Linked DNA regions of Nothobranchius furzeri. Each later gene encodes a partner of the first gene's protein in a complex. Links are inferred from orthologs where the notes say so. Each region holds a gene or a part of one and is shown on either strand. Other genes may lie near its edges. The genes, in order: sympk and ssu72.

Region 1 (11,457 bases):
TAAAGGGAGGAGCTGTGAGACAGGATAACAACGTGATGGAGAACAGACAGAAAAAGGCAGCGGTTGCTCACTAGGTTTGCTACATTCTCGGGGTTCAGCAGTGGGCGCAGAAACTCAGCTGTGAGGTCAATGGCAGACTGTGCAACTGGAACAGCAACTGGCTTTGAGACAGGGATGGGAGCTGGTTCTTCTTTGTCCTCGTCATCCTCAATGAGAGCTGGCTCTGAGTACAGACAGACAGTCCTCATGAAGAATGATGCAATCACAACTGTTCCAGTCAAATATTTTCTATTGACCTCCAAAAATTCAGTGTCTGTGGTTGTGACCCACCTATCTTGACCTTCTTTCCCTCTGTGTATTGTTCGTAACGAGGTCTTTTGCGCTGCTCCCGTGGTGTGGGCGTGCAGCGGGTTATTTCACTCTGAGGCATTCCTAAATCCAGCAGCAGAGTGCTGATCTGACCCTGGAACTCCAGGCTGCAGGGATGCTTGAGGACCGCCAACAACTGCAGCTTCAGATTCTTTCGAACGCTGCTGACTTGAGACTTGGCCAAAGTCGGAGGTAGATTAGCTAAAAAAAGAATAAATCGATTATATTCTGCAGTTTGATGATAAAAACATCCTCCACTATCGAGAACCTATTCAATTATATGTTGCGTCTGAAAACATCAGAGTTTAGGGCTGTTTTTATACCTGAAGGGTTTCATTGGTCAAAGGTAATGAAAATGACTGACTAAAGGAAACAAACTCCAAAGAAAAACTTCTGAGGTTTCCTCAGAAGAAAAATCTAAAGAAAAGGAGAACCCGATCATGTTTTCGTACAGATATCTAATCCTGGGAAGGATCTGGGAACCAGACTCACCGTGCAGCGTCTCAAACGCCTGGACCACTTTGGACATGAACATCGGTCTCCGTCGGGCGATTGTTGCCAGCGAGCCCAGCGCTGTGGTGAGGTTGATGCTGGAAATAGCTGGATGGATCATGAACGTCAGCAGCTTCTCAAGTGCAGTCTTCCCCTCCTCACACAAAGTATCTGTACATTTGATCACACAGCAAAAGACACTTTCAAAAGTGATCAAAATTGCTTTAAACATTACATTTTGTCTCAGTAAGATCCTAAGATGTGTACCGTAGCGAATGTAGGAATGGTCTTTGGGAACTCTGTCCAGGCTGATGCCCCCTTCCTGTTGCTTGGGGACGTCAGACTCAGCTGTTCGCGGTGACAAGGTGATGATTAAAGATTCTGTGAACTTGATTGCATGCGTGCGAACACCATCATTCTCAGAGTCGAGTAGGATCAAAACGTCCCCGGTCATTTGTGTAACCAAATTCCAGCATGCCTCCTGCATATCCGATATGGTTTTGACACGCACCAACCACTGGCGTGAAAGTCAAGAGGAAAGAAATCAGAATCTCGAGGATGTAAGGAGCGAGCTGGTGAATTCAGGGACAGGAACGCTGACCTGTAGCGTAACTTTGTACAGCTGAGTGAGGGTGAGGATGGCCTTCTTCACCACATTAACGCTCTCATCCTTCAGCAGCATGTTCAGGTTGGCGATCAGTCGGACCAGGAGCTCGTTGTCCCTTTTACTGGAAAAATCAGTAACAGGAAAAAAAGGTTGAGAAAGTTCTGCTTTTCTTTTGATCAATGTTAAGCTTGGACATGTTGGATGTTTCATTACTCACCAGGCCTCCTCTATAAACCCAATGACAAACTTTCTCACTTCAATAGACTTGTCGGTCTGGAAAGCGATGATCTCCTACAGTTTAAAACACGGGAATAAGAGTAAGTTAAAAAGACAATGTGTGCTGAAATATAACATGTTCTAATATCCAGAGACATGACAGCTTGGTTTTGAGACTCACTCAGGGAGAGTAAATAATCCTTTTTTTGTCTTGTTATATTTAATGAGGAATCCTAAATGTGCCCATACTTACATCCAAAAAATTATCAAGAAGAGAAGGATCCTTGTTGATGATAAGCTCCTGAACCTGAAATAAATTCATATTGTCAAAATTGTTTTACTCCAGCTTCTTTTTCTGAAGAGATCTTGATTAATAGATTATAATCCAGCACATATTGAGTAGAGCTGAGGAAAATAATCAAATAATCGATGCATCGGGATGCGGACATAAACGATTCTGCATCGTAGAAGAGTACGCCATAATCGATTATGGTGGAATGTAGTTTTGTTCTTTTAATGGCGGCACCAGCACAGATCCAAATCTGTCAGAGTGAGCGTCCTCCACATTTACCAAGTGGTTCCGCATTAATGTGGTACTGCAGGGCTGAGCGCTTGAGTTGTAACCTGAGACCGAACCGGAACCAAATCAGCCCGACCGGTTCTGTTGGATTTGGGCCGTGAAATATGTTAATTGAGCGGGTTGTCACGCGGCGCGCTCCGCTCTCTCAGCGACTGAGAGAGAGAGAGAGACTGTCCGCTCACACGAGAGGATCGGAGGACGCCCCTCCAAAGCGATGCTCCAAACACGCATTATTATTTTCATAATTTAATTTTTTTTCTCCTGGAAGCGCTCAGTCAGACCAAGTGTTGTAATGCTGGGAGATCCGGTCTCGGGGGAGGGGGCGGGGTCAATGACGGCGGCTGCAGCGTGATCGTCTGTCTCTTTTATTTAGGGACACGGAGAAGTTAAAAGGAGAGAGAAATAGAAGAAAGAAGTTCTTGTTCCACTTTATTCTTTTGTTTCATGATGATAAACTGATGTTAGCTTCAGCTTAAAGAGAAGCTGGGAGGAAGCTTTGGTTCATTTTAGGTTACAGGAGACTTGTCTCATATCTGCTCCTCCAGAGACAGCATGGACATGACGGTTACATGGTGAGGGTGACACAGGACAGGTTACTGGAAAGGTTTGTAGTTAGCTGGTTAGTGAAAGAGATCTATCAGCTGGGTATTTTAATCCTAATCCAGCCCACAGCCTTCTGCTGGTGTTATTATCAGGAAGAATAAAACACACATCTTAAATATTATTGGAAGTGTAGAATTTGTTTTATGTTTTATTATTTTCTGCATCAAACAGAACTTGATTCATTCTCCAACATTTCAGAAACGAACCACTGGGTTCAAATAAAATAAACTAAGTCAAACATTTCATTTGGTGTTATTTCTGACACCCTTCAACTGCAGCATAAATATTTGACTCTAGAGCTGCTCAGAGACATTAAACACTCATATATGAACCCATTATGGATTTTATTACTACATTATGTTGTGTCCTGTGGGTTTTCAGTACTTTTTTAGATTTTGTGAGATTTTGTAAAGCATGTTTTCTCAGCCTGAGGCGTGGTGTTGAACGAGGAAACAGATTGTTTTACTTTGTTAAATCTTCTTAAATGTTTTGTCCTAACCTGTTGTGAATGGAGAGATTTTGAGGGATGGCAGGTTGTATCAATTACGTTTTTGATTAAAAAAAAAGCAATTATCTGACATCTTCTATTTATCGATGAAAACAAATCAATATGAAATAATCGTGATGCATCGGGATATCGGATCGAATTGAATCGTTGACCCAATAATCGTAATCGAATCGGGAGACAAGTGAAGATTCACACCTCTAATATTGAGGGCCAGATTATATGTTGAGCATGTTAAAAGCAGGAGAAACCTTTAGAATACAGATTATTTATTCAAAATATCATAGATCTGGAATGTTCTAAGTTATTGTAATTTTTGTGTGTTTTAGTTGGTACTTGCAGCAATAATTAGACAGCAAACCTGTTTGAGAATTGTTAGCTTTTCATCAGTTGGCATCAGAGCAGCTTGATTCAGCAGCTCCACAACCTGAAAGGAAAAAGAAAACCCAGTGAATTTCTCTTTCAAAGCAGATTTACTTTTAAGTAAAAACACAACTGGTACACGACTAAAACAAATAACTGAGTTGTTATTATTAGAAAAGACAATTTTTGCAGTTTAACAAAAGTTGCCCCATACTCGGAGATATAGGTGACTTTACTGTGACATGGGTTAGTTGGAGTAAAACTGCTTTAATTTTCCATCCAAGTGACTATGATTCTGGTCATAGCCATTGGCTTTAAAGGCAATAATGAGACACTCAATCTTAAACCTCAGTCCACAGATGTGAGCCTCTGTTGAAGAACCTTCCTAAATGTTGGGGTCATCTACATCTACAATATGTATGTTAGAGTGAACTGACATTTATAGGCTCATTAAAAAGGAAATTCAATCAAAATCCCTAAAAATAATAGTTGTTTTTATTAATACAAACTGAGCTAGATGTATTTACCAGACCATAGCAGTTTATTTATAAAGTATATTTAGAAATAGCATGGCAGCTAACCAAAGTGCTGTACAGGAGAGCAAAACACTCTCACACACAACAACAAACAACTAGTTTGAACAACCAGTGACTGCTGGTTAAAGTCTGGTGTTATTGGAAATTATTCAACTCACAAATTTAAACTTTAAATTAAAAACAAAATGAAAAGATGAAATTCTTTTGGAGGAAAACACAGTATGTAAGATTCTGGAACCACATCACAGTCAGCATAACAGAAAGTTTTCTAAAGCCTCGACACCAACATGGAAACAGTAATTATTAGAAAATATATTAATTCATGTATATTTAACTTGTACATCCCATAATCTGAAGGGGGAAAATAATATAATTAAAATAATCTTATTGAATAATAAAAAAGACATTACAGACTATTAATCAAGACAGTGATCTCAGTGCTATGGTGTCCCTCTTTAAACTATGTTGCATGAAGAAATGTTCAGTGCCGTACCGGGGATGCTCTATTCGTGAGTGTTTGTCTAATTTACCTTTTCACTTGTGGTGATGTTGACGCTGGGAGTTCCCTCCTCCACTGAAGAAAGCTCCATGTTGCTGCTTTGTGTGTCTCACAGTCCTGACGGCAAGGTTTTAAAAACTCCAATAAACGTCAGATTCTAGAAACAAAATGTTTGCAATATTTACACTAAAACATGAATTAAGCTAAACCAATTACAGTGACGGTGAGAAGAAAACTTAGTTGTAAAACAATAAACGCTTCCCTCCCACCTACGCACATTAATAAGGCTTTAATTGACATTATTTCAACATTACTAGCTTCGTTCTGTGATGCTAGTCAGCGAGCACCTCCATGCTAACCGCATTGCTAACTTCAATAGCAGCTTTAACATTATTTGACAAACGTACGCCACTTAACAGACCTGTTTTTGTGTTCATGTAGAAATTATATATGTTCCGTAAGAGAAACGCACTTACTTAGTATATTTTCCATTACATAAATGGGAAAAACCTATTAGCGCGGAAAAGAAGCCGCTTTCTTCTTGTTCTTCTTCTTCGTACCCCTACTTCTTTTTCTAACCTCTTGGCGCACTGTCGCCACCTACAGTGAAAAGCATGCAAAAACAAAATATTAAATATTCAGTCAAATCTAAAAAGAAAAACAGGGAATTCATCTTCTGTTTTATTTTTATATTGCCTTTCTATTTTAAGCACAAATACTTGCTTGGTTTGACTTTAAAACTTGAATGTGTCCCTTTAAAAAGCCTCATAAGATTAACTAATGCTTAAAATCCCAGTCTCAACAATCTAGTGACACGAATCACCTTTAGATGTTATTAATAAAATTTCATTAGACCATCTTTTTATATTTAGAGCGGCACAAAGATCCCAAAGTTTTTTTCTTTTAAGACTTCAAATCCCAGAAATCTTTGCACAGTAAGTGATGTCACCTGACTGATAAGGGGTGGGTATGCTAATGTTTACAACCAAGATCTGACTACAGTTTCATTGCAACAACAGTGATTTCGTTTATATTGCACCATAATATGAACTGACAATCAAACAGTGGTAAAAAAAATAAATGACTACGTCACATTTTCAGGTAAGATCACATTTTCTTACGCTTTTAATCGCATAACTGCAACGAGCTTGTTAGCGCTTAGCTTGTGAAACAGGCAGCTAAACAGCGACTCTGTTTACATCCTTTTCCCAAACAAATGAGGTGGAAATGCGGCCAAAAGTTCAGTTTAAAAGTGAAGTTTAATTACAGACCTTGGGCATATATCTTATTCTTTTTAAACGATGGTAAGAGTTTGACAGCTAAGACGTGAAAACAGCAGTTTCTTTTAGAGCTTCCTGCTTGTTCGATGTAATTCCTCATTTAGTGTAATTAGTTTTTAGTCTGTCCTCTGAATGCTCTGGCTGTGATAAACAATGTTGTTGTATTTTCTATGCATTGCTGACAAAATCAGTTTATTTTAACAAACGTACACAATTTTCTGCATGAAAACCTAAATCATCACATTTTAAAACAAAACATTTCAACCTAATTAAGTTCTGCGTAAACTGTGTTCTTTATTCATTTAAGTTTGAGTCATATTAAAAATCAAAACATTTTCTAAGTATTTCAACTCATTTTTTAAGTTTTAGAGATTTGTTTCCAAATACAATTTTTAAAAACACATTTTAACAATTAAAATCTCTTTTATGTCAGGATCATAATATAAAATAAATATATGATTTATAAACATCAAAGAGAGGGAAGCCTTCCTGTTGACACCTGGATGTTTTTCAGCGTCCTGATGGAGTGGGTGTTCGTCATGAACCGGATGAGCTCTCAGAGCAGCTCTGCAGCACAGCGGAGGCGGATGGTCCTGGGGGTGGTGATCCTCCTGCTGGTGGATGTCATCTGGGTAGCATCCTCTGAGTTAACCTCTGTAAGGATTTTATCACAGCTTGTCCGGTTTTCACTCCTGCTGTTTTGGGTGGATTTCTTTACACATGTTCACAGTGATTGAGCAAAACAGTTTTGTGAAACTGCTTTTAAAGGCGGAGTCAAAAAAGTTAGTTGTAGCATCAGAAGTGAGATGTGGAGAGTATAAACCTGGCGTGGGAAAAGTGTCGGATTTCCAACAACATATAATTTTATGATTTTATGACTATTTTTTCTGATGTTAATCTTATTCTGTTTTCAGAGCATTTTGATTTTATGACTTTGTTTTGATCTATGTGAAGCACTTTGTGATTCTATGTCTGTGATAAGTGCTATATAAATAAAATGTACTTACTTACATAAAACAAATTATTTTGTTTCTCTGAATCTCCCTTTAGTACATCTTCAAGCGACAGGAATACAACAAACCCTTCTTCAGCACTTTCACCAAGACGTCCATGTTTGTGCTGTATCTGCTGGGGTTCCTGCTGTGGCGGCCCTGGAGGCAGCAGTGTACTGGCACGCTTAAACACAGACACTCTGCATTTGTAAGTTAAACCCTTTGGTGGATATTCCAGAAGGGTTCAAATGAAGGCAACTGGACTTCTTCAGTTTCATGAAGACGTTTTACTTCTCATCCGAGGAACTTTGTAATGAGAAGTGACAAACATCTTCGTGAAACCAAAGAAGTCAAGTTGCCTTCATTAGAACTCTTCTGGATTATCACGACCTGGATGACTGAGAAGCTTCACCAGCACACCTTTGATCGGAAGTGTTTTGGTTTTTGTGATATTGCCTTAGACTACAACAGTAATGTTTCATTGTTTGTATAAACCTGCACCAGGATAAAAAAATCACTTTCTTTTATGGTTACTGACTTTATTTTTCACACATCACACATTGATTCCTGTAGAATCCATTCTCCATCACACAAAGCCACAGAAGGAATTCTTGATTTTGTTGTAGAAGCTGATGCTATTTATCCTGTAGTTTGCAGATGCTGAGGCTTACTTTGCACCCTGCACCAACGACAACACTGTGAACAACTGTTTGGTATGTAGTTTAGAGAAAATTTTGAATAATTGTGCATTTAATGCCGAACTCCAAGTAGTCTTGGTATGCTTTGGAGCTGATTGTTCTTGTCATGGTTGCAGAGTGAACCCCTGTATGTCCCAGTGAAGTTCCAGGATGTACCCACTGATTTCTCTGATTGTTTAAATCGAGACTGTGAAACTTGTGAGTACAGACGCTAATTTAATTTTTTTATTATAAACAAGGTAACATAATTCATAGTCTCTTTTTTTAGATTTATTTATTTCTTCTTACTAAGGCTTTAAATAATAGAAAACGCTTGCATTTTAATGGGGCGTTTCTGAGGCTTTGAACATTTTTGAAATTGAAACAGAAAATTATTAGAGTAAATAGAATTTGCTCTGAGACGAGTGAAAAAGTTGCATATTTACATATTTAGAGTTCGTGTCACATCACTGCTGAAAAAATCATCCAGAAGTGAAAATATACAAGAAACCTGTGTTTATGAGAACATAATCAGAGTAAAGAGTAAACAACTCCATTTTTTTGTGTTCCTAAATCACCTTCACAAGTGGAGGTTTTAAATGCCGTTTACCCACGTGTGGATGAAAACTCTTGGTTTTTCTGAAATGACAACAAAGCTGCTGGCTGCACATTCATTGTTACTTCCTGCTGTAGAAATAACAAATAGTCATTTCTACCTGCTTTTGTGCTTCAGGCGCACTTTAACCCTTCCACTGTCTTAATGAGTGACCCCGCCAGCAAAGTTGACCACTCAGCAGGACTGATGGTTTATCCCTTGAGGTCCACATGGCAGGAATGAGGAGTGAGCACCACCTCACCCCTGCCACGTGGACCTCAAGGGATAAACCATCAGTCCTGCTGAGTGGTCAACTTTCCTGGCGGGGTCACTCATTAAGACAGTGGAAGGGTTAACCTGAACCTGTTGTCACAGAACATTGAATCTGTTTGAAATGGAGAAAATCTCAGCAGAAATATTCTTCCTCTGTTTGCTGATAGGTTGTTACTTCGGTTCAACTAGTGGTGCAGAGAGGACTTTTTAATTTATTTTATTATTTTTGTCAGGATGAAATTAAAATTACTTTTAAATGAGTCACATTTTTGGCTCCAGACAGGGGCTACCTCCCAAAACTCCTTCATGCACATTTATTTAATTCACAAATGCTGTAACGTGTGGTTTCCATTTACTGAGTTTTCTAAGTCCTTGTTGTTTTTAGTGCTTCTATTGTTATTTTTCACCTCTTGGCTCTGAGAGTGACTAGATCACTTTTCTACCGGTTTCTGCCTTTTGTTCTTTTGGGGTCATGCGAGTAAAACTGATGTTAAGATTTAATTAGAAATAGGGATGATTCTGTTCAGGTTTTACCAGCAGGGGGCAGGCATTAGTCAATCAAAATACACAAATAATTAAACTTTGTCCTCAGAACTACTCTTTAAATAATAAATCAATCAAAAATGAATGATAAATTATGATCTACATACTTGAACTCTGTTTTTGGAAATAAATGTAATTAGCTTCTAGCTTTAAACCCTTTAATCACCTGTGGAAGTGTCTCGCTGCACAGAAGCATTCACCTGATGCACACCATTCCAGTTTTCAGTTTTATGACATGAATTAACCCATTTTCTTTCCTTCCTCCCACAGCTGCCAAAAAGCAGCGAGTCCGTTTCAGTAACATCATGGAGGTGCGTCAGTTACCGTCCACTCAGGCCCTGGAAGCCAAACTGTCGCGGATGTCCTACCCAGCTGCCAAGGACCACGAGGCCACGCTGCGAACGGTGGGAAAGCTGACCATCACAGATGTGGCCAAAATCAGTTTCTTCTTCTGCTTTGTGGTGAGAAAACTGCAGCAGCAACTCCTGGCCCAAACCAGGACCTAACTTTAAGAGGCTGAGCAGACAGACGTGTCATCAGATTAAATGTCACATTTCTGTCTGTGTTCATCTTCTAGTGGTTCCTGGCTAATCTGTCCTACCAAGAAGCTCTTTCTGACACGCAGGTAGCCGTAGTCAACATTCTGTCTTCCACTTCAGGTCAGTTTCTGTTCCGTCTTCTGTGGACTTGTGTTAAAGAAGTATCAAATTATTCTTTGAATCATTTTAAAGAGCAAGTCACCCCCAACCAGATTCTTACTCAACTTCCACTTCCTGTTTGAAAAATGCAGACCGAGAGGGCGGAGCCGCTAACAAATAAACACACACAGGCTCGCAATGACATTGTGACATCATATGGTACCAGCTAACGTTCTAGGGTACATCTTAGCCAATAGCGAAGGCAGATTTAAATTCAAATGCAGTGCAGAGTCTTTACCTGACAACGGCACAACACTGACAGTTTTAGGCAGAAAATTAAAATTTTAACTAAAATGCACTAAAGTGCAAAACTATTGGCTACATTAGCAAAAGAGATAGCAGTCCCACCTGATGCAGATACATTTAATAATGTGATAAATAGTAATATCAATTCAATGTTTATACATGAGGTAAGTGAAAACGATGTTGTAAATATAGTAAGAAAATTTACAAACAAAAAATCTACAGATATACATGAAATTGATATAGGAATGATAAAAGAGGTTATATTTTCTATAGTGAGACCATATTATATATATATATATATATATATATATATATATATATATATATGTATATATATATGTATATATACGCATATATGGGGGGGCCTGGTGCCTATCTCCAGCGGTCAATGGGCAATTAGGCAGGGTACACCCTGGACAGAGAGCCAGTCCATCGCAGGGCATCACAGAGACACACAGGACAAACAATCGCACACACACACACACACACACACACACACACACACACACACACACACACACACACACACACACACACACACACCTAAGGACAATTTAGACAGACCAATTAACCTAACAGTCATGTTTTTGGACTGTGGGAGGAAGTTGGAGTACCCGGAGAGAACCCACGCATGCACAGGGAGAACATGCAAACTCCATGCAGAAAGATCCCAGGCTGGGAAGCGAACCCAGGACCTTCTCGCAGCAAGGCAACAGCTCTAACCACTGCACCACTGTGCAGCCCTGCTGGACATATATTACTAAAAATAAATTATTAAATGATAGTCGATATGGATTTAGAAAAAACAGAACCACTATGCAATAATGCAGATGGTAGAAGAAATAGCACAAGCAAGTGAAAAGGAAGAACTCTCTATTAGTATATTTGCTCATTTAAAGAAGGCTTTTGACACCATTGACCACAGGAGATTATTGAAAAAGTTGGAGAATTATGGTGTACGAGGTATAGCAAAGTCCTGGATAGAGAGTTACTTAAAAGACAGACAACAGTATGTAAAAATTAATGATATAAAATCTGGATTTAGAGAAATAAGTTGTGGAGTTCCACAAGGGTCAGTAATAGGTCCTATATTATTTAATTTAAATATAAATGACATATGTAACATGACAGAAATTTTCAAATTTATAATGTTTGCAGATGATACAAATTTAGTTTGTTCAGGTAAAGATGTAAAAGAACTTTTAAAGAAGGCCGAAAAAGAGTTAAATGTCCTCAAATCTTGGTTTGATATAAATAAATTATCACTGAGTATATAATTATTTAATGATATTTGGAAATAAGAAGGTAAAAAATGGGGACTTTAACAATTTCAAATACTAACATTGAAAGAGTGTCTGAAATAAAATTTCTTGGTGTTGTGAT
Region 2 (11,410 bases), on another chromosome or scaffold:
GGGCTGAGGAGGCGATCGCTCCAGTTCTTGACATAAATCTGCCTTCCCCCTCTGACGGTGACCAATCAGCAGGTGGTAAACGCATCGACTCAACTGGACCGGGCTGTGAAGCAGAAGCTAAGACTGTGAAGGGTGATTTAAACCAAGATGATGGTGAAAGAAAGCCGGACCAAACTCCCCCCAAGGATGGAAGTCCAGTTTGAGTTTTATGGATTCTGTCTGTTAGAAAGTTTAGCGTCCTCTTCACTAATCAGGTTGTGTCGGAAGCTTTCTGGACGGTTGTCATAACCAAGATAACTAATTACCTTTTCATAACACGAACGATGCCTGACACGTTCATTTTAATTTAGAACCTATAGAAGTATACCTAGAAGCCACGTGTCTGATGAGTTACACTATAAACGTTGTCCAAAGTCAGGTTTCTCTGTCGAAATGATTAAAACCATTTTCATAACAAACATTCTGATGATCAGTGATAAAGCTGAGGTTTCCTATCCGGGGATGGGGGTGAGTTTTAATGCTGTAACGTGGGGACGAGTCCACGGTTGGCTGGATTTCCTGCAAGAAGCCTGGAAAACCAGATGGGGAGATGGACTCATGATTCAAAAAGGCTTTGTTCTCATGTTTTAGAGGCAAGGTTGAGTTTAAAGTAAAAAATGTGCAAAGAAAAGTGCTAAAACTCTAAAGTGCAATCTAACCTGTGTCAGAATTTAAGATGAAAACTACAAATGAACGTATTAAATGTGAAGCCATTGATGAGCTGATCAGAACCAAACTACTAGTTCAAAAAGCAGAAGAAAATCTAAACGCAGGAGCAGTGTGTGTGCGTGTGTGTGTGTGTGCGCGCGCGCGGACCTTCAGATGACTATAGAGGAGATTTAAGTAACTTTGGCATCCTCCACCCCTCTGTAGCTCTGTATGCACACTTGAATGTTTGGGTCATCTGTGACTCCCTCTCATGATCGTCTGCACACAGATTCTGTGATAAAGAGCTGCAGCCACTTTACTTTCTGAGGTGTCCGACAGCCTGTTGGTGTAGGAACATCACAGCACATGATCACAAGGACCGTTAAAGCTGTCCCGAGGTATCTGTACACCACTACCCCAGCTGCAGGACGCCTACACCCACCGCTGCAGGAGGAAAGCATCAGGTGTCACGAATCTCCCACCTCCCCTTAGGAGAGCACATCATCATCTGCTGATGTCATCGTTTTCCAAATGTATTTTTGTTTTAATGAGTGAGCGCCAGGGCAAGAGGCATTTCATAGCATTCTGTCTACTCTGTACTTGATTTAACACAAAGTTGAAACTTGAACACACACAGGGATGGACTTATTGACACTGATCCAGGAATCAACAGCAAAACGTTTGAAAATGTGTGCGTTTTCGCTCGGTGGGTGTTGTTATGACATGGGAAACAGGAGAAATTAGAAAATAGTTGAGAAAAGATAATCTGACGGAATTCATCATAGCCGACAATGCAATAATCAATCAGTGTATTAAAAAGGTACTGATATGAATATAAATAACTAAACTGGTGAACTTCAGAAGGAAATTGTAAACTAAAGTAAAAATAAAACATTGATTAAACTGATAACTGTCGTCATCGACCATTAAGTTAATCCTGCAGCTTTACACGCATTTACCATTTTCATACAGTTACAAAATAAAATCGTTTAAAATACTCGCACAAGGGGCCGTTTTGCATCCCTTAATGAAAACTTTAAAGTCTTTCCAATGAAACTGTCAGTTTAAGCAGTTCGTAGAAAACACTAAACTTTCTTCGCTGGAACAAGCTGCATACTTTATCTTACACATCTGCATCGACAGATGTGATCCTCTCCCCTCCTCTCACCAGCGGAAGGGTCAGATGAGGAACGCGTTCATGTCTGATGGAAAAATCCCAGTTTGACACAACAAAAGGTTACTGGTATTTACTAATGACCTCTAGGGGTTTGCTGTTCCCACATGGGGGCGAGGACGTGAACCTCGTATTAAATATATCAGTTACTTTTTCACAGAAAATAGTTCCGCAGTGACGTCACTTCCGGTCCGATCTATTTACCGCGGAGGGAAATTCGCTGCGTATTAAATTTACAGTATTTGAAAATCTTCATTTCTAAGAGGCTTAATGCAAGTTTTATATTTTATACAAACTAAGTGGTTTGCTGGTTTTCACTTGTCTGCTTCTAGATATTTTTATTTGTTTAGTGATGAAAACCCTCATTGAAAACACAGAACTACAATTCAAATGTTAAAACTTTATTTGTCTTTAGAGACGTACCCCTTTAAGGCCCGAGTGCTCCAGTTTCAAGAGATTTTTTGCAACACTTTTCAACCATTTTCTCAAAGGATTTAGGTCAGTGTTTAAAATCTTATTTCAGTTTAAGAAATTGCCTTTTTTTAAACCTAGATCCACTTATTCCACATTAGTGTATTCCACATTCTCTAAACTACATCCAAAACTAACACAAACACGTGCCTTCCTAACAGTTTGTAGATTAACTAAAGTTATTCACAGCTAATAAGTTGCCCCAGATTCTAAATACGCATATTTTTCAAAAGTTCAGACTGAATAAGAGAATACAAAACCAGGAGTCGCCGAAACGTCTAGATGTCACTTTCTTTAGTTGACTCATATATACATACAGAAAAATCAGGCACTCAGAGCTGAACTTGCCATTTGAAAATAATTACAAAGCTTAAATTCTTTACATTTACAAAAGGAAAAACAAGCTATGCTCTGGAGGGGGGAAAAAAACAATGCATTTGAGAGCTTAAATATGAAATCAGCATATTATAACGGGTCCATACTAGAGAAGGTCTTGGTTTGGTTGTTCATCAGCCCACCTTAACTTAATCATAACGCATCTATAACACAACGTGAACAAAAATACAATTCAGTTACCATGTCTCCTGCATGTAAACACATCTAGTATGGCCCAACTTAAAAACCTCTCATCTTGAAAAATTTACAGTACTGATTAAGATGAAAAGCCATCCGCAATCAGCACAATTATGCCACTTAGAATGAAGAGGACTTGCAGAGAACCTGCTAAAACTGTGTGTGTGTGTGTGTGTTATGGCTCTCCTGAGGGGACATGGTTCAGTGATTTGATTTGACCGAGATCAGGGGCAGAACCTTTACCAAAGCTCAGTCTGGAGGAATGAAGGCATAAGGAGAGCAGCAAGTCCATCCTCTGCACAGAGGAAATTACCAACCTTTATAAGTCTAACAGATCCTGAAGCAGAGCTGTGTGTGTGTGTGTGTGTGTGTGTGTGCAGATGCACAGTGCCTTTACACTGTCATACATGTAACTGTCTGTACATATTCTGTTTGACTGGGATCCAAGTGTGTGTTTTATTGCAAATTTCTAAAGTGTATCAGTAGAAGCAAACAGTGTGAAGAAAGGGCCGGTTGCTCTTCTCCTCAAACTCCTGTACGAGCTCATCGATTTCATTTTCCATATCGTCGGTGTGCTGGATCTGCAGGGATGATGACAGACGCGTCATCAACACAACTTGTACATAACACACACTTAACGGTCACTTCATAAAAAAAAAATCTAAAATAACTTACACACTGACACAGCTCACAGATGAGAAATGCACCTAACGTGGCTTCTTCATGGTTGTCCTGGATGTCTACATTGATTACATGCACGGGCTGCAACGTCTCCTGCTCCCTTGAGTTCAAATCTAGAACGAAAAAAAGAAAAACATTAACATGTAATTTTCTGTAATAAAAAAACAACTTCTGAGAGCAGCAAAAGACAAAATCAGGCTTTTCCCATGAAAATCCTCACCCTCCAACACCTGGTCATAGACCCTCTCTTCACAGGTGACGACCAGGTCAAACTTGTCTTTGCATAGCTGAAAGCGCTCTGGTTTGGTTTTGATGCGTTTGTTGCGGTCCAGCATGTGCAGGATGCCATTCTGTGTGTAGCTGATGAGTAAAGGTCAAGGAACACAGCAGCAGGAACTGCAGCAATACAGGCAAACTGTCACACTATTAAATATAAGATGACAGTAAACAGGTGCTTTCTCAGCCTACTCAGTGTTTTAAATGGTGTGTGAGGGACTCGCACTGTAGCACCCTCTAGTGGTGACACCAGTAAGAAGTCAATTAAATAACTAGATCATTTCTGGAAGACAGCAAGCGAACTGCTGAGGCATTTTTAATACCCAAATGTTCAAAGGCCACACTGATACTATCAGTTATAACATTTTTTATTCTAATTTCACTTTGTTTTCAATGCCAGCGGTCTTATCCACCACAAAAGGGGCAAAACCGTATTTTCTATTGGGACATGTTGGGATTTACAAAGAATGTAGGAAAAAAAAAAAGATTTGAGCCAAACTTACCACAAGCTACCTGAAAGCACACCCTCACCACTGAAGATGCAAGTAGATTAAGCACATATGTGACGCCTTCAGGTCTCTTAAGCTCACAAAAGGCCTCTGCACATAAATATTGAGTCTAATAAAATAAGTTTTTAAAACAAAATTAACTAGAAAAATGTATTTTACATCTTGTTAGTGGAGACCCCAGTTGAACTATGAAAGGTACTAATATAAATAACTAGTAGTGATAAACACTCAAGTCTTTATTCTACTCAGATTACTCTTGAGACTTTAACACATATTCAGACCAGTTTGTGTTCAACCCCAATTTAAAAGGCTTAAATATTATAGAACACTTGACTCATCTGTTGCTCCTGTTATTATTTTTGGCTTGTGGCAGGATAATTTCCCCATGTAGGTCATTTTAAAGCTCATCCCCCCCCCTGTTTTCCTGACCCCTCCTCCAGATTTTACTGGATAGACTCCAGCTGATGCTGACTAGTGCAGATGACAGAAAAGAGCAAAGAACAGGGATAAAAACACAGCCAGATACATGTGAACAAAGTGGATTCACACCAGCGGATTTCAGTGCGATCCTCTCACCGTAGATGCTAGTCTAACAGCTCATTACTGTATTGGAGCCAGACCCTACCTCATTTAATAACCATGCAACCAACTGTTCTTAGTTCCAGCATGTCATTTACCCACCGGTGACCTCCCATCGCATGTGCTGTCCCAAGACCACCACCTACATCACATGTTACACAAGTCATGTTTAGTTATGTGTGAGGGGGGAAAAGGGTGAGTGTCAAGGGGATACAGTTCCTTGTCCTTGCGGACCAAGTCGTTGTACATCTGTTCATAAGTAGTTTTGAAGTCGTACACATTGGGTTTATCCGGGGAGGGACCGGGTAGCTTCACGTGAGACCCCGTCCCAAACGATCGCACGTCAAATCCACGCTTGCTGCAGAAAGAGAAGGACAAGAGTTAAGGGTGTGAGAAAGTAACATAAGACAGCAGGATGTAAATCTTTAAGCTGCAAAGTCAGGATTTCTGTAAATTTTGGGTCAGTTTCTTCCATCTGTGCTGTTTAGAGTAACTAAATGATTTATTAACTCAGCTAAAAATGTTCCATGAGAACTTCGGAGCTGAATTAATCTGAACAAGAAAACGCCCTTCATTTAAAAAAATCCTTCTCAATCTTAAAGCATCGAATCACGTGACTGAACATCAACTTGTGTTGCACAACTGTAGTCTTCTTCCGGAATGTTCCCCTCCAGGGGGCGCTGTTGTCCACATGTAGGTAAAAAACTAAAGCGATTTTTTAAAAGAAATCTCTGAAACTGTAACGGACACTAAAACCTGTGTAGTTGACTAATTTAGACAAGCCCTCAAACCCAGTCAAAGCAGTGTTTTGGGGTGAGCTACATCCCCGGTGGGGCACTCGGAGAAGTGTGTGTCCATTGTTAAACTGCGTTAGGCCTGTCATGGTGCCGCCGGTACAGCTTGTGACCGGCAGAGGAAAATACATGTCGTTCTCTTCGTGGTGGCTTTGCTGCTGTCATCTCCCCGGTGGCTCGTCTTTACCTGAGGATATTGTGCGCTTCCATACTGCGGTTCTGGTTGCTCGAGCACACAACCGCTACACGCAGCGGGTGGCTCGGCATTGCGACTCTCCGGCTGAAACGGTCACAAACACTTCAGAAACTAACACGGATTTATTAGTTGCCTTTCTGCGGGTAAAATACAAGATAAACACCTGTCTAAGGTAACCTAAATTGCGTCTAGAGATGTAACACTGAAGTACGTTCGTCTTCTTCTCAGGCAGGAAGTTAAAATGGCGGAACAGCGGTTCGGGAAGGGGGCTTTCTAGGATGATGTCATCAGTAGGCGGAGCTTTCGTGTGGGCAGTCAGTAAAACAGGAAGTACTGGATTTAAAAAATTTGTAATAATTTAATAAAGCCCTGATCAACAATACACAAACATGTCACTTTCAGTCAAATCAAATTACACACCTTTATCAGACCTAAGTGGATGAAATGAGGATCAAATATTTTATAAAAGAGAAACAAAAAGTAAAGGCTAAGGGTAAACATTTCATGTCTTTAAAGCAGTCGCAGTGCTTCTTCCATTTCAGTTTATTGCAGAAGGTATGCAACAGAGGTTTGCATGTTAGAAATCTACTTGAAGTACTAGAAAATGATATTTAAACGTTTTTTAATACTTGGATTAACTTTTCACAAAGTAATAATAATGATAATGTGGAGTAAAATTTGTTTTATTTAAGAACCACCCAGCGCTTCTATTAGACAACACACACACACACACACACACACACACACACACACACACACACACACACACACACACACACACACACACACACACACACACACACACACACACACACATATATGTGTGCGAGCGTGTGTGTGTGTGTGTGTGTGTGTGTGTGTGTGTGTGTGTGTGTGTGTGTGTGTGTGTGTGTGTGTGTGTGTGTGTGTGTGTGAATAGTGTTATAGTAAGACACTATATACAACAGTAGTTCTTATGCAGACACTATAATGTGTCTGCATAAGAACTACTGTTGTATATAGTGTCTTCTCTTATTTTTTTACATTTGTGGTCACTTCATTACAGGTAACGTCACATAGTTCACTGTGGCAACGCACACATTTCCCTACGTGTGTGTGTGTGTGTGTGTGTGTGTGTGTGTGTGTGTGTGTGTGTGCGTGCGTGTGTGTGTGTGTGTGTGTGTGTGTGTGTGTGTGTGTGTCTGCTCTGTCTTCTCGATCCCCAGTGAGTCTTGGCGGATGGCTGCTTATACTGAGCCAGGATCCTCTGGTTTCTTCCTGTTAAAAGGGAGTTTTCTCTCCACTGTTGCTGCATGTTTGCTTAGTATGAGGATTTCTGTAAAGACACTGACACGAGTCAGTGACTCAATGCAACTGATTGCCTTAATGAACTGAACTGTATTGCAATGTATAATTTAGATGATTTGGTGCTATATACTGTAATATAAGTCCTGTGGGTCAGAAAACTACTTGCTATCGTGACGTTACTGAACTTCAGTGAAAAAAAATTGATTTCTGATTTAAAAATAAAACTGCATTGCCAAGAGCAATTCACTAGTGCTGTCAGTGTCATGCTGCTGCTCATGAATGTTGCAAAAAAAGCATTTTATTGGGATAATTGCCAACAATTTCCTTTATTGTCAGTTTGAATGTAAACATCACTCAGATTCAAGTCACTTAGTCAAAGTTTTGAACCACATGATTCAGAGCAGCAGTTGCAGGCCCTGTGATAGGTCCTTGTTTGATGTTTATAACATGGATTAGGTACAACTGACAAGAAATGCTATGAAACCATTATTGCCTGCATGGCTCTCTCTGACCCATAGTGGCTGGCTGCAGAAATAGGCTTCATTTTAGGTTTAACCCTCTTTATTTAAACAAATTGGATTTCAAAAGAATAAAATTCATTCAATACATTTTTGTCTGGATGTTAACTTCTTCAGCAGTAGTGGCAGTTGCCAAGGCAAAATCTCGTGCGTGGGAAGAGTTTGGTGAGGCCATGGAGAAAGACTATCAATCGGCTCCAAAAAGGTTCTGGCGAACTGTTCGGCGCCTCAGGAGAGGGAGGCAGCAACTCGCTCACACTGTTTACAGTGGGGATGGAGAGCTGCTGATGTCAACTGGGGCTATAGTCGGACGGTGGAAGGAATACTTTGAGGAGCTCCTCCCACCTACGCGCATTCCGAGGAGGAACCAGAGACGGGAGACCTGGGGATGAACTGTCCAATCTCGGGGGCAGAAGTTGCTGAGTTTGTCAAACAACTACACCGCGGCGGAGCCCCGGGGGAGGATGAGATTCGTCCTGGGTATCTCAAAGCTATGGATGTTGTAGGGCTGTCATGGTTGACACGTCTCTGCAACATTGCGGGGTTATCGGGGGCAGTTCCTGTCGAGTGGCAGACCGGGGTGGTGGTCCCCATCTTTAAGAAGGGTGACCTGAGGGTGTGTTCCAACTATAGGGGGATCACACTCCTCAGCCTCCCTGGAAAGGTCTACTCCAAGGTACTGGAGAGGAGGGTCCGATCGATAGTTGAATCTCAGATTGAGGAGGAGCAATGTGGTTTTCGTCCTGGCCGTGGAACTGTGGACCAGCTCTATACCCTTGCAAGGGTGATGGAGGGGGCATGGGAGTTTGCCCAACCAATCCACATCTGTTTTGTGGATTTGGAGAAGGCTTATGACCGTGTCCCCAGGGGCACCCTGTGGGGGACGCTCCAGGAGTATGGCATGGGTGGCTTTCTGTTAAGGGCCATTCAGTCCCTTTACCAGAGGAGCGTGAGTTTGGTCCGCATAGCCGGTAGTGAGTCGGACCTGTTGCCGGTGAGGGTTGGACTCCGCCAGTGCTGCCCTTTGTCACCGGTTCTGTTCATTACCTTTATGGACAGAATTTCTAGGCGCAGCCGTGGTGTGGAGTGTTTCGAGTTTGGTGGCAGGAGAATCTCGTCTCTGCTTATCGCAGATGATGTGGTCCTCCTAGCTTCATCCAGCTCTGACCTTCAGCTCTTGCTGGGTAGGTTCGCGGCCGAGTGTGAAGCGGCTGGGATGAGGATCAGCACCTCCAAATCTGAGACCATGGTTCTCGACCGGAAAAGGGTGGCTGAGAGAGGGAGAGAGATCCTACCTCAAGTGGAGGAGTTTAAGTATCTCAGAGTCTTGTTCACGAGTGAGGGTAGGAGGGACCGGGAGATCGACAGGCGGATTGGTTTGGCGTCTGCAGTGATGCGGACGGTGAGTCGATCTGTCGTGGTGAAGAGGGAGCTGAGCCAGAAAGCCAAGCTCTTGATTTACCGGGTGGCCGGGCTCAGCCTTAGAGATAGGGTGAGGAGCTCAGACATTCGGGAGGGACTCAGAGTAGAACCGCCACTCCTCCGGATCGAAAGGAGCCAGTTGAGGTGGTTTGGGCATCTGGTCAGGATGCCTCCTGGACGCCTCCCTGGGGAGGTGTTTCGGGCATGTCCTGCCGGCAGGAGGCACCCGGGTCGACCCAGGACACGTTGGAGAGGTTACATCTCCAATCTGGTCCGGGAACGCCTTGGGGTCCTGCCGGAGGAGCTGGTGGAGATGGGCTGGGAGAGGACGGTCTGGAGTTCCCTTGCTGGGATGCTGCCCCCGTGACCCGGACCCGGATTAGCGGACGACGACGACGTTAACTTCTTTTGATTTACAAAGTTTCCTTCTAGCAGCTGCACGTTTAAATAGCATTAGTTATCTGATGCTCACAAACATAAATGTCACAGCATCTTGTGCTCATCCTTCGTCCTCTTCGTTGGGTCTTGGTGAGAAACCTCACTCTGGATGTAACTAAAGCTGAATCACTCTCTCACAAAGAGAACAATAAGAACAGCTGTAAAATATTAAAAGGGACCTCTTTTATTTTTAGTCAATAAGACAAAAGAAATCTAGCTCATGATGCTTGGCACAGTATTAGGATTGTACACTAGTATTGCCCTTTACAAATACAAATACATGCAGATCTAAAAGCAATACCAGACATTGATGATTGGGTGAAAAGTTTCATTCAGAACGTTGTTCCTGTGGATGTCAACAAGAATTCTCTCAGAGACATCAACAAAACCATTTCTGTCACAAGACCCAAAACCATGTCATGGGGCCGTCAGTGTATTGCTGTTTAATGGGCCTGCTAAGACCAGAGATCATAACAGTTGTTTTGGTTTCGTGCACCCTGCCAGAGGTGGGCGGGGCTTGTTCTTTTCAGAACAGATTGTGCGTCAGGATACTATCCTGCTGACAATGACACGTGTTTACGTGATCTTCTCTGGCATTAGTGACGTGTGTGACTACGGTAAGAGTACGCGTGCTGCGCGGTGGGACTCATGAGATTTTCTGTGATGTATGCCACCAGCAAACAAATGATAACCAGCATCACGCATATAGCCCCTCCCACCGTTGTCATGGCGATCACAATGTCCTGCATCCCGGACGGCGGCAGCGTGAACTCCACGCAGTCTCGCGGCTCTCCCTGATCCGGGTCGGACCGGGCCGGTGAGGAGCGCAGACAGATTCGGTATGGGATGTTCTCGTGCAGGTCGGACAGGAGGAAGTCCCTGCAGCCAGATCCAAGATGGACACTCGCGCACTCGAACTGGGTGTAGCTCCCGTTCCACCAGCAACTCAGCTCATAGCCTGCACGCCGGTGGCGCCGTTCACCGAAAACAGCGTGCAGTCGTGTCGCGTTTGTCCCGTTAAGATTCTTTTTGTCCCGGTTCTTGTCCCCCCCGTGGCTCCACTGTAACAGTACGCTGCCGTTGATGAGGATGTTCGCCACCAGACTCCCCAAAGACACTTGTGACCTGCAGTCCTCCTTGAGACACTTGTACCCAAACAGCGTCTGTCGAAAACAAAGCTGTCCCCAAATCCCCCCCTCAATCACCCTGTAGGCACACACCGGTGACACCCCTTCATCTGGACCCGGTCCAGATCTCTCTGACGTGAGAGAAGAATTAATCACGTGACCTGCGTTCTCCTGAATCTTCGCTGATGCAGCGAGTTGATGCTGGTTGACAGTTTTCCTGGATGGGGACGAAGATGATGAGCTGCTGCCTGTCTGGTGTACTGATGTGCACCAGAGCAGGAGTACCGACAGGGCGAGCAGCGATGTGCGGTGCTGCTCGGTCATCTCTGGTCGGATTATTTTCACTCACAGTGGATCAGATGGGCGATGGCACACCGAGACAGGCTGATGTCCGCCATGAGATCAGCTCTTCTTGTGGCCTTGAAACAATTCACAGACAGCGTTTAAGGCAGAGATGTTGCAGAGGATAAAAAAAAAAACTGCAGGATTAAATTAACAACCTGGGCGCGCGCTCGCATCTCACTGGCATATTTAATCACTCACCTATTTCTGTAGGACAGAGATCCCAACTATCCATCCATCAGATGTGCTTTCTTCTTCCTGTCTGCCCTGACGTAAAAAAGCTTTGATGTGCTCTATGAGTGTGCACGTGGGAGAGCGCGCGCAGTGCATGGGAGC

The links.
Region 2: the proteins of sympk (region 1) and ssu72 are in contact, whole or in part, in a crystal structure (PDB 4H3K), measured with the Homo sapiens proteins. The link is inferred for Nothobranchius furzeri from reciprocal best matches to the Homo sapiens genes SYMPK and SSU72. Residues at the interface, in NP_004810.2 of Homo sapiens: Val123, Lys127, Leu131, Gln135, Asp175, Asn176, Asp177, Gly178, Thr181, His182, Lys185, Glu188, Pro204, Arg205, Arg206, Gln207, Ser250, Ile251, Thr254, Thr255, Asn262, Ala290, Ser292, Gln293, Ser295, Ser296, Lys299, Asn300, Leu303, His304; in NP_054907.1 of Homo sapiens: Glu113, Tyr116, Asp117, Val120, Asn124, Glu127, Gln128, Glu129, Thr130, Cys131, Gln132, Pro133, His135, Asp167, Glu169, Asn170, Asp173, Gln177, Glu180, Thr186, Phe187, Leu188, His189, Thr190, Val191, Phe193.

What each region holds. Positions count from the first base shown.
Region 1 is NC_091747.1:24,057,734-24,069,190, forward strand, and holds the start of sympk (symplekin), read right to left. Parts: upstream 5,376-11,457; 5' UTR 5,247-5,375; intron 4,928-5,246; 5' UTR 4,862-4,927; coding exon 4,802-4,861; intron 3,800-4,801; coding exon 3,734-3,799; intron 1,992-3,733; coding exon 1,938-1,991; intron 1,760-1,937; coding exon 1,686-1,759; intron 1,590-1,685; coding exon 1,463-1,589; intron 1,379-1,462; coding exon 1,129-1,378; intron 1,033-1,128; coding exon 862-1,032; intron 571-861; coding exon 331-570; intron 224-330; coding exon 72-223; intron 1-71. Other genes in the region: solute carrier family 35 member F5, read left to right, coding at 6,572-6,706, 7,101-7,250, 7,693-7,755, 7,857-7,938, 9,401-9,591, 9,708-9,789. UniProt on the Homo sapiens protein: Scaffold protein that functions as a component of a multimolecular complex involved in histone mRNA 3'-end processing. Specific component of the tight junction (TJ) plaque, but might not be an exclusively junctional component. May have a house-keeping rule.
Region 2 is NC_091743.1:46,311,926-46,323,335, forward strand, and holds ssu72 (RNA polymerase II subunit A C-terminal domain phosphatase SSU72), read right to left. Parts: upstream 6,167-11,410; 5' UTR 6,012-6,166; coding exon 5,932-6,011; intron 5,309-5,931; coding exon 5,165-5,308; intron 3,947-5,164; coding exon 3,807-3,946; intron 3,700-3,806; coding exon 3,581-3,699; intron 3,487-3,580; coding exon 3,385-3,486; 3' UTR 3,343-3,384; downstream 1-3,342. Other genes in the region: atad3 (ATPase family AAA domain containing 3), read left to right, coding at 1-203; fndc10 (fibronectin type III domain-containing protein 10), read right to left, coding at 10,202-11,056. UniProt on the Homo sapiens protein: Protein phosphatase that catalyzes the dephosphorylation of the C-terminal domain of RNA polymerase II. Plays a role in RNA processing and termination. Plays a role in pre-mRNA polyadenylation via its interaction with SYMPK.